2 linked regions of the Struthio camelus genome follow. The protein of the gene in region 2 interacts with the protein of the main gene of each other region in a biochemical or structural test. Links are inferred from orthologs where the notes say so. Each region holds a gene or a part of one and is shown on either strand. Other genes may lie near its edges.

Region 1 (9,388 bases), on a different chromosome or scaffold from region 2:
TGCGCGAGATGCGCGTGTCCCCTGTGCCTGTTCATCTCCTTCCGTAGACGTACAGTGTCTGCCTGTAGGGTCGCTCCTCTCTGTTCGTGCTTTCTGTGCATGTGCAAATCTAGAGTGTCCTTTTTTTGAGCTGTGCGTGCTGGTGCCCTCCTTGTTCAGTAGTGAGCATTGTCTAGCTTGGACAGGCTGCTTAAGACCAGATCCTTAGCTCTCCTATGGGTGCCTTGCTGTCCGTGTGCCGGCTGCAGGAGCTTCCCGTCAGGTTGCCTCACTGCCACCCCCTCCCCTTTTTAAAGAAAAACAAAACAAAACAAATGAGGAACCGACTTCACTCCTGGAATCCAGGCTTTTGTCTTGAGCCCCTGGGGTTTATGAAAAGAGAAAAGAGACCTGGGGTGGGTGGGGGGTTGGGGGGAAATGCCACAGAGCGGAGATGCACATCAGTGAGAGCAGGCACCGTGCCTGGCTGGAAGGAGACCAGGCCACGGGGAAATGCAGTGATAATACCACGGGGTATTATTCTTGCAGGAATCTGATTTTGGAGCGACCCACAACTTGAGGCAGACTACTTAGGGTCCGAGCTGCAAGGAGCTGGGTGTCTGCGAGCTGGTTGTGCTCTGTACCTCCTGGGGACACTCAGCACTTCACAGGCTCTGACAGTGGAGTGTGGGCTTGGAAACAAATGTCCATCTTTTTGATATACATATATAAATATCTCATAATCTGGAAGTGGCTGTGTATAACTTGTGGGGTGGGGGGAACTGCATGAATTTTATTTTAGTTAAATAACCAATCAGGGTGAAGTAGAGTTGATTTGACGGTTGTCTACAGCTGGGCTTAGCAAAAATGGAAGTAGCTGAGGACTGAATCTGTAGCGCTGATTGCAACACTGAAGGCATTCTTGGAAGTATCAGTTGTTTGTTGGTTAGGTCAGTATCTATGGTATATAACTGAAGCCATAACTTTTAACTGGAGTGGTTTTGATTATTTTTTTTATTTTATGGGAGGGTCTGGATTTTAACTTTTTTTAATATTGTTAATTCTTTATAAGAGAAGAAAAACAATCTATAATTATTACCTCTCAACCTCTTTGTTTGTAAAGAAATCACTGCAAAAAAGGAAAAAAAACCAAATGCACACAGCTCGATTTACACTGGAACTGTTTCTACTCAAACCTTGAGCCTGCTCTGTAAGGTGAGGTTTAATCTCTGCTCCGGCCATCGGGGTTAAGTTTTTTTTTCTTCTTCTTCTTCTTTTCTTTTCCTCTTTTTAAACACTCTGTTCTTGCTGTCTGTATATCTGTCTGTGTGTCTGCCTTCTCCCAGACCCCCTCTCTTGTCTGTGATTTTTATCTGTGTCAAGTGCGAAGTGTTTTTTGCATCATGTTTGGAGCCATTTTTGCATTCTCCCGTGGATTTTTAACTGTCAGGCAGTGCAAAGCTGTCTTGGGAGGGTCTACAGACTTCAGACTGATTCATGGAGCTGTGTGGAGTATACGCTTTGTGAATGTACAGCTTCCCTTCCCTTTCCGATTTGTTCTGACTTGTTTCTCAGCCAGAGGTTACCATGCATCTCCAGTACCGTATATTCCTTTACCAAACCCTTCTGCATTTAGGAACCTTGGGTGGTGGGCACTTCACAGATACCCAAAAGACTCTTCAGCTGCTGTAACAGGACCCTTGCGATGGCCCTTCCCAAGAGGTTGGGGAGGAAGTCCTAGCGACTGTGAAATAAACTGCCATAGGAAAGCCCATCACGCTGGTAGGTACGTCTGCCGCGTGCTCTTCCGCGAGCGTTACGGATTCTTGTTTCCAAGCGCGAGTCTCCTGTTCCTGTTAACTGTGCAGGCTGCTTCTTGAGGACACTAAAATCAGCTATGTAACTTGCACTGATTCACTCGCCCGCTCCTCCTACTGTAGCCACACATGCACCTGCCTCAATGCTATACCAAACAGCAGACAGCGGAGCAGTATCGGACCGGATGGGGTTGGAAGGGGCGAGGGCAGGACGGCAGAGCGTCCCCTCTAAGGAGGACCGTCAAACAAGCCTTGTTTGTAGAGACAGATGCCATCGCAGTACGGTCAAAACAGAGTAGGATCCGAGATGGGAACGCTAACTATGTAGCATTTATACAGCACTTTTCATGCAAACGTGTGCCAGTGAGGTGCAGCGGTTACTTAGCTGACCGGTAGCAAACATAGGAATCGCTGCCCAGCTCAGAGGTGGCTGCAGCAGCTGTCACAGGATGCAACACTACAGGCAGTTCAGGACGCGACCGATGCCACATCAGTTCAAATCGGGGAGCAGGAGGCTTCAGCTCTTTGGGAGAAGATTGCTGGGGAGAGGCAGAGATACAGACCTTGTGCTTCTCGCCTGTGGCACAGGGCTCATCAGTGGTACGCTGGCTTCAGAACAGATCTCTTGGTACTTATCTGCCCCTTTTATTTGTTTGGTTTTGTACATTTTATTAGAAATGGACTGTAAAATAGCCACTTAGACACTTTACCTCTTCAGTATGCAAATGTAAATACGATGTAATATAGGAAATCTTTTGTTTAATATAAAACAAGGCTGTCAATTTCTGCTGTACATTATTAAAAGTTTGTTTTATTCACGGAAGGTGTCGAAGTCTTTCCTGTTGGCTGCGGGGGATGAGCGCGCCGCGGAGGGGTAGGACCCGAGCAGCGGGCTGGCGCGGGGAGCCCAACCAGGCGTCGCAGGGCAAGACCTGAGCGGCGCTCTGCTTCCTCGGAGCAGGCTTGGCGGAGGGGTCTCCCCTGGCGGGAGTGCAACGCTGGGGGTGACTGAATCCAGGATCTTTAGGTTAGAGCTGGCAGTGCTTTAGTATATCTGAAGCATCTGTTGTTTGTCACCAGAAGGGACCGGAGCCGTTTCGGGTCAGCTCCATCCCTCTGTCTTGACTGGTGACGCTGAGGTAAAGCTCAGACTTCTGTCCCCGGTGGAGGTTATAGTCTTACAAAGCCTAGAGACGTGTTTGGGGAGCTTGTTTGGTCGTGAGCAGGCTGCAACTAAAATAATCTGCCCAGGGCTCTCGCCCAGCAAACCTTCATTGCTTTAAACATTCCCCTTCTCGGTGGGGATGCAGCTTCCGTGGGTCTGCTGTGTCTTCCCGAGACACCTTTGCTCCGGCACAGGCGAGCCCACCATGTGGCAGGGCACAGTTTAAAGCTCGGTGCACAGGGATAAAAAGCTACGCTCAAAAGCGCTCCCTCTCCGGCGACGGTAATTGGAAGCAGGAGGGTGTCCTGCAGGAGGTTCTCCAGAACAACCCCCTCGGGCTGCCAGCTCTGCGCAAACCAGCGCTTTCAAAGGAGGAGGAATTTTAGTCTGAACTGCTGAGCATCCCTACGAAATCCTATTTGCTCGGAGGGTAGCCGGTGCTGCTCCAACTGCCTGGGCTAATTCTCCCTAATTAGAGCCTCCTGTGCGTGAGCGAGCATGTTGTGGAGGGATAAAGGGGAAAATCCGCTGTGCCCGAGCTGGGGCCTGGGCTACCCCGTGGGCTCAGACTAATGGAATTAGCCGGCTGCTGGCGAGGGGCAGCTGCCATCTGCCTTTAGCTGTGTTTGCACTTCCCCACCGCGCTCCCGGGGGCTCAGCGTGCCGCTCAGGGCGAAACCAGACCCCCATGCTGTAAAACGAGGAGACGGGTGAGTGGGGGGGGGGCTTTTTCTTTTTTTTTTTTCTTTTTTTTAAGGCAAAGTTTGCCTCCTTTTCCATGTGGCCACCTGGAAGAGGGGCAGTCGGAGGGGACAGCCGGGGTCTGGGATCTCTTGGGACGGGGCTGAAGTCTTGGGTGCCAGATTTCTGGAACAAGATGGGGCTCTTCTTGCTGTTTTCCTTGATAAAGGGAGGTGGCTCGACGCCCCGAGTCCTGCCTGCCCGTCCCTAAGCGCTTTCGAACCAGACAAGTTCAGCTCTGGGAGCGAACTTGTCTCCTGGTAACCCCCGGACAGGCTGTGGGCGGGTGGTTTGGGTGTAACGCAGTCAGGATTTTTTTTTTTTTGGCAAATTTTAAATAAACAGCTGGGCAAACCCCTGAATTCCAGCTGCTGTGTCCTGGAGCGAGGCTTTGTCGGCTGCAGGCTTTGCAGAAACGGGCTGCTTCTGCCCTGTGCAAAAAAGCAAACGGACCTCCAGCCGAAACAGCCCCGTCGCCTTCTCCAAGGCGCCCTTCCCTGTACCTCTCCGTCCCGAACGCGCGTCGGGCTTTGCAGCCGACGGTTAAAATCCCTTCCCTGCCCCGGCGGGACCCAGGGCCGAGGCTCTGCCTCGAGCGAAGTCCTAAACGCCCCCCCGGGTGCCCTTCGCCTGCGGCGAGACCCGGCGCAATTTCCCCCCCAAAGCCCCCGCAGGAAAGCGGCCTGAGAAAGCAGCGGCCGGAGGATGCTCGGGGGGGGGGGTTTGGGGTTGTCCTTCCAGCTCGGCCACTCGTCGCGGGACGAGCTGCTGCGCGGCGCCGGCCGACGACGCTTCGGGGGCCGATGATGCTTCGGGGGCCGACGCGGCAGGTGAAACCCGGCGGCTTCGCCGGCCGCCCGCAGCTCCCGGCTCCGGGGCCGCTCGCGAGTCACCGGCTTTGCTCCCTGCTGAAAACTAAACCCAGGCGGCGCCGGGGGGACGCTCGGGCTCCGGGCCGGTTCGGGGGGGGCGGCTGCCGGGCCGCCGGCTCTCCCCCCCTCCCCGTGCCCCCCAACGCCCTGCGGCCCCACGGTGTGATGCCCCAGGTGCCCCGACGCCCCCTGCACCCCCTGCTCCCCGATGCCCCATAGTCCCCCCATGGCCCCCGATGCCCCCCGATGCCTCAATGCCCCCTGCTCCCCCCATGCCCCCTGATGCCCCCCTGCTACCCCGATGCCCCGACCCCTCCGCTTCCCCAATGCCCCATTGTCCCTCCATGGCCCCGATGCCCCCCTGCTCCCCCCATGCCCCCTGAAGCCTCGATGCCCCCCGCTCCCCCCATGCCCCACAGTTCTACCCATGCCCCCCGATGCCCCTCTGCTCCCCCAATGCCCCCCAATGCCCCAACACCCCCCCGCTCCCCCCATACCCCCTGCTCCCCCGATGCCCCCCTGCTCCCCCGATGCCCCCCGATGCCCCGACACCCCCCCGCTCCCCCAATGTCCCATAGTCCCCCCCGATCCCCCCCGATCCTCCTCAGCCCCCCCCCGATGCCCCTGTGCTCCCCCCGGCAGCTGGACGGGGGCGGGGCTAGCCCGAGAGGCGGGGCCGAGCCGTCGAAGTGGGCGGGGGCTCATCCGAGTGAAACGGGGCGTGGTTTGCGCTGGGGGAGTGGGCGTGGTCCCGACCGGTGTGGGGGCGTGGCCTTGCCTAGCACCGCCCCCCCGCGCCCGCCCCCGGGGCCCTTATAGCGGCGCGCCGACGGCCCCGCGCCCGGCCATGACCCTGCGGCGGCGGCGGCGGCTCCTGCCCGAGGAGGAGGCGGCGGCGGCGGCCCCCCCGGGCCCGGTGCCTCCCCCCGACGTCTACCGGGCGCTGGCGGCGGCCGGCGGCACCCTGCCCCGCGTGCGCAAGGTGGGTGGCGGGGGGTCCCGTCGGGGCGCACCGGGCGCGTCGCTGCCGCCGCCGCGGCTCCTTCCTTCCTGCGGCCTCCGGGGCTTTTGGGACCGGAGCCGCCGCGTGTCCCCCCCCCACGACGGGGCTCCGCGCGCAGGGCTTGGCGGAGGTGGGTGGGAAACCCGCTCATCGGTGCGATGAATGCGGCCGTTCTCGGCCGGGCGCGGCGGCACCCCCCCCCCCCCCCTCCGTCCCCAATCCCGCCCGGTGCCGTCGGGTCGCCGCCGTCCTGCTCCGCGCTGCCGGCGCCGCGCCGCGATAAGGGGGGGTTGTTTGGGCCAAGGCGGGGGGGGTGAGTTTTGCATTTAAAAAAAAAAAAACCACACACGCACACACAAAAAACAACAAAAAAAGGCTTTGTGCTTAAAAACAGGGCCCCTCTGTCGCAGGGCACCGGCCGCGGCCTGACGTCAAAGCGTGGGGCGAGCGCGAGGCAGAGGCGAGGGCCGCTGTGATTGCGGATAAGAGCCTCCTTATACCCGGCGGGGACGGCTGGCGGGGTCGCATGGCGGGGGGGGGGTTGGCTGCGGGACACCCCGTCGGGGCCGGTCCCCCGGCGAGGGGGAGGACGTGCTGCGGGACGGAGTCGCCCGCTAACGCCTCTGGTCCGCCGCAGGGCGCCGGGTGCAGGCGGAGGTCGCCCGGGGAGTCCCCGCAGGAGCGCAGGTGGGTACCGCTGCCCTTGGCCGACGCTTTGGGCTCTGGCCGGCCGCAGCCCCCGGCCGCCGACGCTTCCCGTCTGCGGCTCCCAAGAGCCGGGGCCGCGGGGGAGCAGAGCCGCCCCGAAAGTCTCTGCGTGAACTTTGTTTTGTGCTTTAACCCAAAGCTGGGGAGAGCAGGGGCGATTCGCTGTAGCGGCCCGGGACCCCCGCGGGGACGCGGGTGAACGCGCACCGGGGCAGGTTGCAGGGACGAATCCCCCCCCCCCCCCCGGGGCCGGGGGCTGCCGCCGGGCTCGGGGCCAGCAGCAGCGCAGTGGGGGGGGGGGGACCCCAAACCTCAAAGCGGGTTTTCATTAGAAAAGCACCACAAGTCTTGGAGGGGCGGATGAGGGGGCTGCCCCCCCCCCGGAAACGTCTCCGGCGTGTCCCTAACGCCGCTTTCCCACCCGCAGGAGGGTGGTGACGCTGGAGAAGAAGGCGGAGGAGGCGTTCGGCTTCGAGATCCAGGTCAGCGGGGCGCCGGGGGTCCTCGCCCGTGCCCCCCGCCCGGCACCTCGCTTCTGCACCGAGGGTGTTTTTAAAAGCGCCTCCGAGCCAGGGTTTATTTTTAACGCCGGCGAAGCTGCGTGGTTCCCGAAGCCTCGCGGCCGCCGCGCGCCCCGGTCGGGGGCTGCGGCCGTCTGGTGCCGCGGGGTGCAATTTGGGGAGGGGGGGGGACCACCCGGCGCCCCTCACCCGGCTGCTCCTTTCAGACCTACGGGCTGCACCACCAGGAGAAGAACAGCGTGGAGATGTTCACCTTCGTGTGCCGGGTGCACGACGGCAGCCCGGCCGCCGCCGCGGGGCTCCAAGCCGGTGAGCGCGTCCGTCCGTCCCGGGGGAGCAGGGGGGGGACCCAGGCGTCCGGGGCCACTGGTCCGCGGGAGCTGAGCCTCGTCCCTGCCGGCGGCGGCCGCTCGCTGGGGCAGGTGACACCATCACGGGGGTGAACGGGCTGAACGTGGAGGGCGTCCGGCACCGGGAGATCGTGGACATCATCAAGGGCTCCGGCGACCTGCTCAGGTGAGATGGTTTTGGGGGGGGGGGGGGACACCTGTCCTGTCCCCGTCCCCGTCCCGCCGCCAGCCCACGCTCACGGGCTCTGCCCCGCAGGCTCGACACGCTCTACGGGACCGCGGTGCGGCGGGCCGAGCTGGAAGCCCGGCTGCAATACCTGAAGGTGAGGCGGGAGCGGGGGGGATACCGGGGGTGGGGGGGGTGGGATGCAGGGTTCCCCCCCCCCCGCCGCCCCGTCCCCAATGCACGGGGTCCCCTCCGCAGCATCCTCTCCCGCTCGCAGCAAACCCTCTACGAGAAGTGGGGCGAGTACCGCTCGCTGATGGTGCAGGAGCAGCGGCTGGTGCGCGGTGAGTGGGGGGCGCCGGGGGGGGGGAGCGGGTGGCAGCCGAGGGGGGGCCACCAGCAGCCCCCTGACGCCTGTGTGTGTGTCCCCCCCCCCGACCTCGGCCAGGCGTGGTGGCCAAGGACCCCAGCATCTACGCCACGCTGGAGGCGCTGCGCTGGTGCCTGCGGGGCGCGGGGCTGCCCGGCGGCGGCGGCTCGCCCCGGCTCAGCGCCGGCAGCGACGACTCGCTCTACCAGACGTGCGTCTTCGACACGCCGGAGGGCGACGGCGATGCCGGGGCCGGGCCGGCCTTGGCCCGCAGCGCCAGCCTGCGCGGGACCCCCGGGGACGGCGCGGCCGCCCCCCTGCCCCCCCGCAAGGGCAAACGCAGCAGCTTCCGCCGGCGCCTGCTCAAGTTCATCCCGGGACTGAACCGCTCGCTGGAGGAGGAGGAGAGCCAGCTCTAGGGCGCCCGGCCGCCCGGCCTATTTATTTATTTATTGCAAGGGCTGCTGAGCCCTGCTGCCGGGGCTCGGGGTGCACCCTCGTCCCCCCCCAACCGGGGACGGCTGCCGGCTCGGCCCGCGTCGGGGCGATCGCGCCGGGCGGTGGGACCGCTGCTCGGCCCGGCCGCGGACTTTTCTTTTTTCCCCCCTGGAAAAGCCGCTGTTTTATCTCAGGAAAACTCCCCCTTCCTCCCGCGCCAGCAGCGCTGCCCGGCTGCGGGGGTCCGGCGCTCCCCCCCCCCTTCGCCCTAATACAGAGACTTTTTGCACCCGCTTGTGGCTGCGACTCATCCGGGGTGGCAGGGAAGGGACATGGGGGCGGGCTGGCCCTGGTGGCACCAGGTCCTTCCCTGGGGCAGGGGGCTGGAGTAGGGCCTCGGCCCCCCCGGCAGGGGCTCTGGGCTCCCTCATCCCCCCTGACTTTCCCTCTTTGCTGCCCCGTGTGGGGCTGTGCCCCCCTCCCTGGTCTCTGGGTTTTGGGGGCTGTTTTGCCCCCCAAAGGCAGGAAAAGCAGCTGTTAAGCACAGGGCTGGTGCACGGGGGTCGCCTGCCCCTTTGCACCCTGGCGCAGGGGGGGAAGTGGGGCTCGTGCTGTGGTGCCAGCTCCTGGGCGCGTGGGCAGCCCTGCAGCGCGCCGGCTCCCTGCTGCAAGCGTGAATGCACGCGCAGCCCTGCAGCTCGTCGCATCCCTAGTGCAAACGTGAATGCACGCGCAGCCCTGCAGCTTGCTGCATCCCTAGTGCAAACGTGAATGCACGCGCAGCCCTGCAGCGCGCTGGCTCCCTACTGCAAACACGGGAGCGGGGTGGAGGTTGCTGGTGCCAGGCTGCGCGGTCCCCGCTCTGCTGTTTGCCTCCTCGGGGTTGCATCCTGCTGCCCCGCTGGCGTCATGAGGGGGGCCCGGCGCTGGCTCACGGTGACGCCTCCGTCCGCGAGTGCCACGTCCTCGGCGTCCCTCCTGTGGCTGGAGGCTCCGGCGCTGCTGGGCTGCGGCCAGCCCCGCTTCCTGCCTCGCTTCCTCCGGGAGCCTGCAAGTGGCTCGGAAAGCGGTTCCCACCCCGAGGCCTTCCTGCCGCGCGGGGGGCCCGGGGCTGCGCAGGGGCTGCGATGGAGCAGGATGGGCCCCCGGCACCCTGCTCCGTGCCACGCTGTCGCCCAACGCCGAGGAAGCGGCACCCAAAAGCTGTTGGGGTCTGCAGAGCCCCCCGCTCTCCCCGTGGCTGAGCTGGGCCCCTCCA
Region 2 (9,679 bases):
GCAGATTTGCAGGTGCTGGGTCCTGGCCTATGTTCAAATCACATTTGTGCCTGTTTCAGGGCTTTATCTTCAAATCGTGCTTTGAACAGAGGCAGGCGCAGAGCATCGCTGGTTCCCTTTGCACCCAGTCCTGCTCGGGGCCTTGCACCGACGGGCAGTCGGGCCAGCACGGAGCAAAAGCAAGGATTAGGGCCTGGGTACGCTCGAACGTCGGCTCAAGCCAGCTCTGATTTAGCCACGCTCAGTCAATTACTTGCTCCTTTCTCCTAAAGCGGACTATCTCGTGGCTCACCGCCAACTTAAAACATCCAGGACCAAAGTCATTACTTTCTTTCCGAAGCTTGCTTTAAAATAGCACTACAACACATTCCACGTTTTTGCTCATAGTCGGAGACTTCGGCAAAACGCGAGCCCAGAGGGAATTATTCTCAACGACCCGGAGTTACAAGCCTTAGAAAACAGGACTACGCTGGAATGGAAACAGTGACAGTCTGAGCCCGAGTCACATGAAGAGCATTACAAGGATGGTTATTTCCACGCAAAGAGATTTAAGCTGGTTTTAGGGCATCGAATTAAAGGAACGGCTCCTGGGCAGAGCATCGCGGCCCACGGTCCGGGCACGCGCGCTCTGCGCCGGCCGTTTCGCACCAGCCGAAGCCTTTTCCAGCCCTTTGCACTGGACGAATTTCCAGTCGGGCTCCAAGATGAGACGCAAAGTGCTGAGGAAGTGAGGTCATATGGGAAATTGTTCTGAGAGATAAAGGAACAAGTTAGAAACCAAGCTGCAAAATAGACAGTACAGGAAACAATAGAGCTTTAGATAGTCTTTCAAATTTCCCCTAGTGATGCCAAGAACACAGCACTTCATAGGAGCAATGCTCTTTTTTTTTTTCCTTTTTTTCTTTTGCCTTACACATGCTGCAAGGAAACACAGACTAAAAGATTATGGAGCCGAAGTTGTTTGCTTCAGCCCAGGGCTTGCTCAACCTTTTATCTCGCTCCACGTATTTGTCGGTGGTTAAAATAAGACATTATGGGCCAAGTCTTTCAAGTCTCATTAGAAAAGAGTTGAGTGACTCAAAGGCCAGACTTAATCCCGTTATCGGCGGTAGCCCCAGCAGGGCCTGGGGATGGGGCTGTCTCCCCAGCCCATGCCACCACCCGCCTCGGGGAGCAGAAGTGGCTCCTGCCACCTCGGTGCCACACGGCAGCTTTCCTTCCTGGCGCTTCTGCGCTGCCAAACCTGCAAAGCGACGCTCGGACGGATCAGAGGGCTCCAGCGAGCCAGGCTGAGCAAACCCCTCGTGAAAGAGCCGAAAGCCCTCACGCCACCCACGAACGCGACTGCCACAGGGAGCCAGGGACCCCGAGGGGAGATTGGCAGGCAAGGACAACATCTCAGCAGAGCAGCTAGCGCAGCAGGAAGGACCGACGCGGTTTCAGACGCGCAGGAGCCCCACGGTCCCGTCCAGCCTTCCTGGCCCAGGGCGAACCCACTGAACAGACGCCACTTCCCCCAAAATGCACACAGGGACGCACAGAGAGCCGACTCTGCAAAAAAACCCAAAACAAACCAAAACCCTTGGGGGGTCCAGAGTGCATACATACCCGCCAGCCCCCGCCTCGGGGAGGCTGCGTGACTGCTGACGTCCCCTCCATGGGGCAACAGAGCTTCTTGTCCCCCCAGCAGAGCCTCCACGTACTTTGGTCGCTGCAAACTGCAGCTCTTCCCTTTCATCTTCCACCTCCCAGCTCTCTAGCTCGGTACTTGGACGCTCCTTTCTCTCTCCCCACGGTACCTAGATGATTTTCCATCACTCTGGGACAAAATCGTTACAGGGCAGAGATATCATTAGAGCATCTCCATCACACAGGGAGCACTGCAAGGCCACTAACGATCTAGACAGGGAACATTGGACTTCCCTGAGCGACTGTGTCAGCCCATAAATAACCCAGGCTCCCAAATCACCAGGCTGCGTTTCAGTGGAGCTACTGACTGTAAGGTGAAAGGGTGAGTCTCTGCTCTCGGACTCCCGGGTCAAAACCTGGAGGTGGACACTGACCCCTGTATTGTAAGCAAAGGTGCCCTCCTCTGAAAAACGAGCTCAGGACTGCAGAGACAATTCCCTCGGGAGGGAGCACACACGCCTGATCCCGGAGATCCCAAACAGTCACATCTCTGGTGGGGGGCACGCGCCGGCAAAGCCGTCTGCGGCCCTCACGCCTCCCCAGGAGAGCGCGGCCAGCCCAGGTCCGAGCCCGCCCCGTGCCCTACGCGGGGGCTTCGGCACTCGTAGAGTCACCGCGGGCCGGCGGGGAACTCGGAGCTTGGCAGAGACGAGCGGCTTTCCCAGCATCGAGCGCTGGTCTCTGGGAGTTTGTCATGACCTAGTACTCACGCCTGGGCGCTAGTCACTGCTGCCTGCGGGCACCTCAGCAGGTTAGAGAAAAGCTGCACACACGCTTCAGCTTCCTGCCTGTTCTACACCTTCTCCTCTGGGGAGCACCAGGCTGGGAGGAGGGAGAAAACCCCCACCAACCCTTTCCCTGCCAGGCTCGCGCGGCTGGGTTTGCACGCAGCGCTGCTGAACGTGTGCTTTCCTGTCCCTTTCCCGCTGCGCAGGTAGCGCCGTCCCCAGGCACAAGCCAGAGCTCGCGCGGCGCATGGGGACAGGACCTCAAGGATGACCGCAATAACGGGTCACAACACCCCAGCAGGAGCGGCTTCAGAAGCCCTAAGACTTCTCACAGCAACGGAGGGAGGGGGCCAGCACGGGGACCGACGGTCACATCCGCTCCAACAGCAGCAGGGCTGAGCCCTGGTGCAGCAGGGCCGAGGGGACAAGGCAGGAGAAGGGCAGGGTGACGGGGGAAGAGCGCAAGGCACGCGGCCGGCGAAGCGCACGCAGAAACGCAGCAGAAACGCAGCGGAAATGATTTTGCAGGAGGCTGCACAAAAGTTCTCCGAGAGACCGTTCGGTACCAGACACGAGCACGCCACAGTCAGCGCCCAGACACGCCGCGTCCTCCTTCGCCCCACGCGCGCCTCGCTTCCCGCGGGCCCCAGCCCCGCAGCTCGCCCTGCGGCCGGCACGCGCGGGAGCCCCGCATCCCACCGCGACCCGGCAGCGCGGCCGGTGGGCACCTCCCCGGCATGGCAGGCAGCGAGGCAAGGAGGAAAGCCCACCCCGGCTCCAGCTTGGCTCGGGCACCCGGGGCTACGGCGCTTTCCCGTGGCGCCAGGGGCTGTCATAGAGACGGTGGGGACGCAGCAGCGTAGCTGCTCGCAGACGCCCATCGGGGTGCATCACCCCGGCTGCAACAGGGGAACTTCCAGGCTGGATAAAGCCTTTAATCAGGCAATCCAGGGCCCTGCAGCTTCCTACCAGGCTGATCCCAGGCAGCCCAGGAGAAAGGGCACAGAAAACAGCCTTGGCCTAACAGGGTCCTCCGGGTCCGTCAGAGCTGGACATGACCCCCAGAATTACCGGTGAACAAACGCTACGAGGGAAGTGGATCAAGAGACATCAAAGCAGGGGGGGTGATGAATATTTCATGTCCTGGCCTACATACAGCCCGCTCTCCCCGCCCTGCGCTCCCGGGGGTCCCCCGCAGCCCCCAAACACAACAAAGGGGATCGCGGGCAGGCGGTGCAGCTTGCCTGGACCCCACAGCCGTCCTCTCGGACCTGGCCAGACCCACAGCCGCCCAGCCAGATGTGGCCCGACCCATAGCTGCCCAGATGGACCTGGACATGCCCAGCTGCACCCACAGCCGCCCCATCGGACCTGCCCAGACCCCGAGGCGCCCAGACGGAGCCGCCCAGATCCAGCTGGACCTACAAGCACCCCGCCGGACCTGACCAGACCTAGCTAGACCCATAGCCAGCCGCCCGACCTGGCCGGACCCAGAGCCGCCCGGAGGGACCTGGCCATCCGCAGCCGGACACAGAGCCACCGGCCGCAGCGGCAGCATCCCGGCCGGACCCCGCCGCCGCCCCGGCGTCTCCAGCCGGACCCCCGAGCCGGACTGCGGACATCCCCCCGCCGCCGCCGCCGCCGCCGGAGCCCGCTCACCTCGGCGCGTGCTCGGCCCCGCTTTGTCTCCGCGCCGGGGGCGCGGCCGCCGCCGCCACCCGCCGCCGCCGCTCTGGTGCCCGGGCCGCCGCCGCCGCCGCCGCAGCCCCGCGCCGCTCTGCTCCGCTGCGCTCCGCGCCGAGCCGGGCCGGGCCGGGCCGGCTGCTCAGGGCTGCGCCGCCGGCAGCACCGCGGAGCGCCGCGGATCCGGCGCGCTGCTCCCTCGCCCGCCCCCGCTCACCCCTTCTCTGGTTGGGGGGGGGGGGGGACGACCCACGGGGGGGGGGGGGGGGGAAGAGGAATATGGCAGCAAACCGGAAACGGCTTTATAGGAGGGGAAAAAAAAAGCAGCAGCCCCTCCCCTCGGGTGGTGGTTTTTTTTTTTTTTTTTTTTTTTTTTAAAGGGAGAAGGCTGCGGGCAGCCGGGCTGCGCGGGCGCGGAGCGGGCGCGGCGCCGCCGGTCACGCCAGGGGCAGCGCCCCCGGCCCCCCGGGGGGGCGGCGGCGGCGGCCCGGGCCGCGGGGCCCCAGAGGCGGCGCGGCGCGGCGAGGGGCTTCGCCCGGGCCTTTCGCCTCGCCCTCCGGGCTGCCCCTCCGCGGCGGGGCTGCCAGCGCTAGCGTATTACCGGGAACCAGAGCTGGTGACGGAGAGACAAGGGGTTTTCAGAGTGGTCAAAATCTGGCTATTTTCCCTTCGCTTTATTAGGCAATTCTAACAAACAGCACATAGCGGGGAGCGAAGCTGTTTTGTCACAGCTCCGCGCTCGCGCCTAAGCCCTTCATCCTCGGCAGAGACGCCTGGCGATAGCAGGACGGCTTAAAATCCGTCCTCCTGATATTTTAAAAGGTGGCAAAACTTTAGCGTAGAAAAAAAGGCAGAGAGAAAGCCAGTCCACGTGTGGCCGTAAGGCCCTGGGGGAGCGGCGAGGGCGGCCGGAGCGGCGGGTGGGCGGGCGGGCGCGCGCGAGCGGGGCGCCGCTCTGCCTCGTCCGTCCTCGCCGGCTCCGGGACGGGCCGACAGGGAGGGTGGCAGCGCCTGGGCCGCCGCAGGTTACGCCCTCGGCGGTGGTGGCAGCGCGGCTGTCCTCGTCTCCGTCGCGCGATCCGCCACCCCAATTCGCAGGCTGGAGCAACGCGGCCGGGCTCAGCCGCGGCGGGGACGGTGGCGACGGGTGGTGGGGAAGGCCCCCGCTCTCAGTCGGCGCCGGTTCCTCCTGCCCTGGAGAAGTGGCCCGCCTGGAGCAGAAGTGCTGCCGAGCGGCTAAGGGGAAGCGGAGGGCCGAACGCGCAGCACGAAGGCGACCGTTGCCCCGCCGCTCCCTCCGTTCGCTTGCCCGAAACACGTTCATCAGTACCTTCCTCCCGGCGAGGGTTTTGAGGAGTCTCCCGGCGCTTCCCCCGGCCCCGAGCAGCGCCCCTTCCGCGAGGCGGCCGCGGGGCCGGGCCGGGCCGGGCCGGGGGGAGCGCCGCGGAGCCCGCGCCCCGCCGCGCTCTGGGCCCCTGCCCAGGGGCCTGCTGGCGCCGCGGCGGGCGTCGAGGCTGCCGGGCAGCGCTGCCTCAGCCCTCCCCCAGCTCCCGTTAGCAGCCCGCTGAATCGTTCCCTGTCACTTTATCCTGCGGGAAGAAATTGGGTGAAGCAGTCGGTTGCCACCCGTGTCGCTGTTTTATGAGGCGCGCTCGGTCGGCGGCGGACTACAGTAATCCGCTGGCTGGGTCGCTGCAGCCAACCGCCCGCCTGTGGCCCCGCCGGCCAGCCCTCCCCGCCAGCCCTTGCAGCCACCGAGGAGGGGCTTTTCGAAAACGCCGCAAGTCCCAGCGAGATCTGACCCTGTAGAAACGATCTGAAAAGCTAACGAGTTTCAGAAAACAATGTGGCTGCCCCCCCCCCCGCCTTGTTCTTGTTAAGTTATTAAACAAATATTTCCCATGACACGGCTGAAGGCCAGCGAATCCATGAGTCACCAGGAACGAGGAGTCACGCACCCCGCGGCTCCATCACCCCGGCCCGCGCCGCGCGGGGCCCTGCCCTGGCAGGAGCGCCTCGGCTGATAAGGCCCCGTAGGAGCTGCGCTTGGCCGGAAAAGCCCAGCCCTTTCCCTCCCAGCGCCTCGGAGGGCCGGGCACCGGCAGGCGCTCGGCAGCGGCGGGCGGTTGCTGGAGAGCGAGGGGCTGCGGTTCAGCGCGCCTGCTCGCTCCTTGCCTGGCGGTACGGCGGGCTGCGCGAAGGCCCGGGGACGCGCTCCTCTCCCGCCCGCTCCGGCGGCCGCCGGCAAGTCCCGGGGAGCTGCTCCGGCAGGTAACAGCGCCCCGGGGAGAGCGACGGGCTCGGCCCCAGGCCCTGGGGGAACCGGTTGAACTCAGCCTCTGCCGGATCCAGACCCAAAGCTGAGATGCAATGATGACTTATACATATTTGGATTTTGTTTTCCTCTTTTGCAATCAACTCCTTTCCTGCGGGCTGTCCCACAATCGCGTTTTGCATCTCTGGCGGGGCCGGCCAGTCGCTCAAAGGCGAACAGCAGAAAGCCCTGTGCCTTCGAACACGCTGTACCAAAGCCGCGGCACAGTCGCTCCTTCGATGAAGACACCAACGGGCAAATCTAGAATGGCAAAGAGATACCCTCAAAAACCAGCCCCTTATCTTCTGGGCTCTGATTCAGGAATGTGCCCTCGCAACACTGACATTAAACACCCGGTATTGGCGATAATGCAATTTAAACTCATTCGAGTTTAAGCAACTCAACACACTTGAGTGCTTTCTTGAATCAGACTCAAACTCCTGAGACTGAAGGACAACTGCCGTCAAAATATTTTTCATTAAACAGTCTAAAACAAGATCCTTCTTACCCAACCCAGGGTTTTAATGTCTTACCTGAAACTTTTTTTCTTGAGATGTTTTATTTCCGTTCGCTTTTAAACAGCACCAATCAAACCCGTACTGGAGAGGGGAGAAGGGTTATAGAGCGAGGCTGAAACAGAGATAAAAAGTCACCGGCAAATTTAAAAAGCATCACTGGATATTTCTGCTGTCTCGCTTATTACAGCACATCTTGATCGCTTGTTAGAATATCATTTTAAGATGTGCATAGGCATTTTCCTGCTTTCCTGCTGATCTTTAGCAGGAAAAAAAAAAAAAAAGAATGACAATCACTATACCCAGAGCGCTGTCAGGTTAATGGAGTAAATAAGTATATGGTTTCTTTGTTACTGCCGTCAGGTGTACACATCACCGGTAGCCGTTGATGTACGTCAACATCGGCGGAGAGAGCTCCCCGGCTGATGTCTAAGGCCCTACGTGCGCCGTGCTGCAGCGCGCCGCAGCGGGGCCGGAGGCTCCCCGCTTCTCCCAGCCGGCCGGGGCTGCGCGGCGGCACCCTGCCCCTCAGCGGGGAGGTCCTCAAAACGCGGCATGAGCCACATCGAATTGCTCCGCGAGACTCGGAAAATCTTCTTGTAAAGCAAGAGGATGCTTTTGGGGCCCAATAATCGATCTGTGTCCTGACCTCAAACTGTAGCTGTGGCTTTGCGACAAAACATCTATTCATCTCCAAACAGATTTATTTTTAAGCATCTCCTTGGCAAGCGTGAATGAGTTTTGTTTAATGGATCCTGTTCCTGAGGCCACTTGCATTTTATTCACTGCAAAATCCAAACACATTTGCCCGAATTATTACTCTTAATAATAGAACAGTTGTGTTCAAGCTGCTGGGCAGAGGCAGAAGCGGGAACGGCTCTTTCCCTAAGAATTTACGATCATTGAACTTTACAGTCTTGCAAATAGTGAGCGTGTGCGACAGCAAACGATGAGAACGACCAGATCCATTAGGAAAGCCGCAGTTATGAGCTATGGGGCTGATTTACTAGGGGGAATTGAGGAGAATAGCTCTTGCAGTACAAGCCATTTGGCAATATTTCGTCGCAGAATCTGATTCTGGCCATTCTCTCCTGCACTGAGCATCAGGTCCGCAAGAGCAGAGCGACAAGAACTGCTTGCCAACGTCTGGTGGGCTGTATGATAAAAAAGGGCAGTTGAAAGGAAGTCACCAAGTGGACTCAGGACATCGCTCAGGAAAGGGGTCAGTGGGCGGGTGGAGGAAAGGGGTCGGTGGGCGGGTGGCAGCTCAAGACCTGCCGTGCCCTTCGGTGTGGCGACAGTCTGCCACGTCCGTCGGCTGGGGGAAGGCGAAACAGGCTCTTACCCCAGCTCTGAAGCTGCACAAGTCCGGTAGTGTCAGTGCAAAATTCCCTCGGGGAATGGGTGGCTGGAAAACACTCACTTAGTGGAATGTAAATGTTTGGGGAGAAGCCCCAGAGTTCTTCAACAGCTTTGGAAGGCAATTACCTATACGTTCAATACAGTCACAGCATTTCATGTCCGCTTTATATCTGATAAAATATAACATTTTGATCAGAATAGAATTAGGTATTTCGGAATAGCTCATTCAGACAAAAATTCTACACTTTTCACTTTTTGCCTCAGTTTAGAAGAAAAGCCACAAACAAAACATCGGCATTTCCTAGTGGTAGAAATTCTGCTTTTTGGCCAGTCTTAGTGTCAACAGAAACGAGCAGTTCAGAAAAGCCCATGGAAAACTGTACAGACGAGATTTATAGCCTTTCTTTCCAGCTGCTTTGCTAACAGAGCAGCTGGGGATTCCTCCCGAGTGCAGGAATCACTGGGTAGTTCAAAGCTCTTGTAGCCGCATCAACTTGACCTTCCCCTGGAGCACAAGGGGGTGTGTGTGCAGAGCAGATTGGGCTGTAGCATTCCTCAGACAGCAGAGAAGTCCCCGGGGCGCTGTTCCTGCGAGGGCAGGGCTGCTCGCAGTCACATTAGTGACTGCAGCCTGTGCCAAATGGAGCTCCAACAGACACAAGGGTGGTTCCCACTCATCATTCAGTGTTGGTCCTTTGAGCGAGGGATGGGCTAAGGAAGCCAAAGTCTGAGTCTGTAAAATTTAAACCATATGATGTTTGGATCTACGTTCAATTTAAACTGAACTAAGTAAGTGGGGGGAAGGTAGGGAACAGAAATGTTTGCCGCTTCGCCCCTCCTCTCCAAAAAAGCCTCCCCCAGCAGTTCCCTTCATCCCGGAGGCCTGATCCTCCGGGACATGCGGACATCTGCCTCAGCCACCTAAAGCAGCTGCGGTAGCATCAAAAGTATCGGCTCCGCAGAGAGCTCAGCCTCGAGGAACTTGGCGTGCGCAGACCCCAACAGCCACAGTCCGGTCGTTTTACGGCACAGACCCACCCAGCGGGATCTAATTTATAGGGCAAACTCTCTGAAAGTAGGAGAGATGTGACCTAACAAGCCCCACGGCTGCAGCACGGCTCCCTGCCCACGTGGCTACGGCCGAGGCACAAGTAAGGCAGGACGTGTCTGGGGCTGGGGCCTGACTCAGCTGCGCTCGCTTCCCTGCGCTCCGGGAGTGCTGCTGCCCTGAAACAGCTCACCCATCCCACAGTGCGTGCCGTACTCTGGACTTTGGCTGTTGGGGTTATGAATTTATAAGCTCAGAATGGGTTTTACAGAAGCAGCAGCCACAGGGAAGGTAATAGGAATTGGCTTTGGGGCCAAGGACACCTGAGCTGAAGCTGCAG

The links.
Region 1: of the proteins of SRC (region 2) and TAMALIN, one has a biochemical effect on the other in vitro, tested with the Homo sapiens proteins (2 studies listed by BioGRID and IntAct, with this or other methods). The link is inferred for Struthio camelus from reciprocal best matches to the Homo sapiens genes SRC and TAMALIN.

The regions. Positions count from the first base shown.
Region 1 is NC_090969.1:1,126,693-1,136,080, reverse strand, and holds TAMALIN (protein TAMALIN), read left to right. Parts: upstream 1-5,421; coding exon 5,422-5,556; intron 5,557-6,214; coding exon 6,215-6,264; intron 6,265-6,712; coding exon 6,713-6,767; intron 6,768-7,012; coding exon 7,013-7,115; intron 7,116-7,228; coding exon 7,229-7,322; intron 7,323-7,412; coding exon 7,413-7,479; intron 7,480-7,599; coding exon 7,600-7,666; intron 7,667-7,770; coding exon 7,771-8,111; 3' UTR 8,112-8,419; downstream 8,420-9,388. UniProt on the Homo sapiens protein: Plays a role in intracellular trafficking and contributes to the macromolecular organization of group 1 metabotropic glutamate receptors (mGluRs) at synapses.
Region 2 is NC_090959.1:7,546,133-7,555,811, reverse strand, and holds the start of SRC (proto-oncogene tyrosine-protein kinase Src), read right to left. Parts: upstream 4,003-9,679; 5' UTR 3,976-4,002; coding exon 3,898-3,975; intron 2,480-3,897; exon of another isoform or gene 2,400-2,479; intron 1,820-2,399; exon of another isoform or gene 1,660-1,819; coding exon of another isoform or gene 1,609-1,659; intron 1-1,608. UniProt on the Homo sapiens protein: Non-receptor protein tyrosine kinase which is activated following engagement of many different classes of cellular receptors including immune response receptors, integrins and other adhesion receptors, receptor protein tyrosine kinases, G protein-coupled receptors as well as cytokine receptors.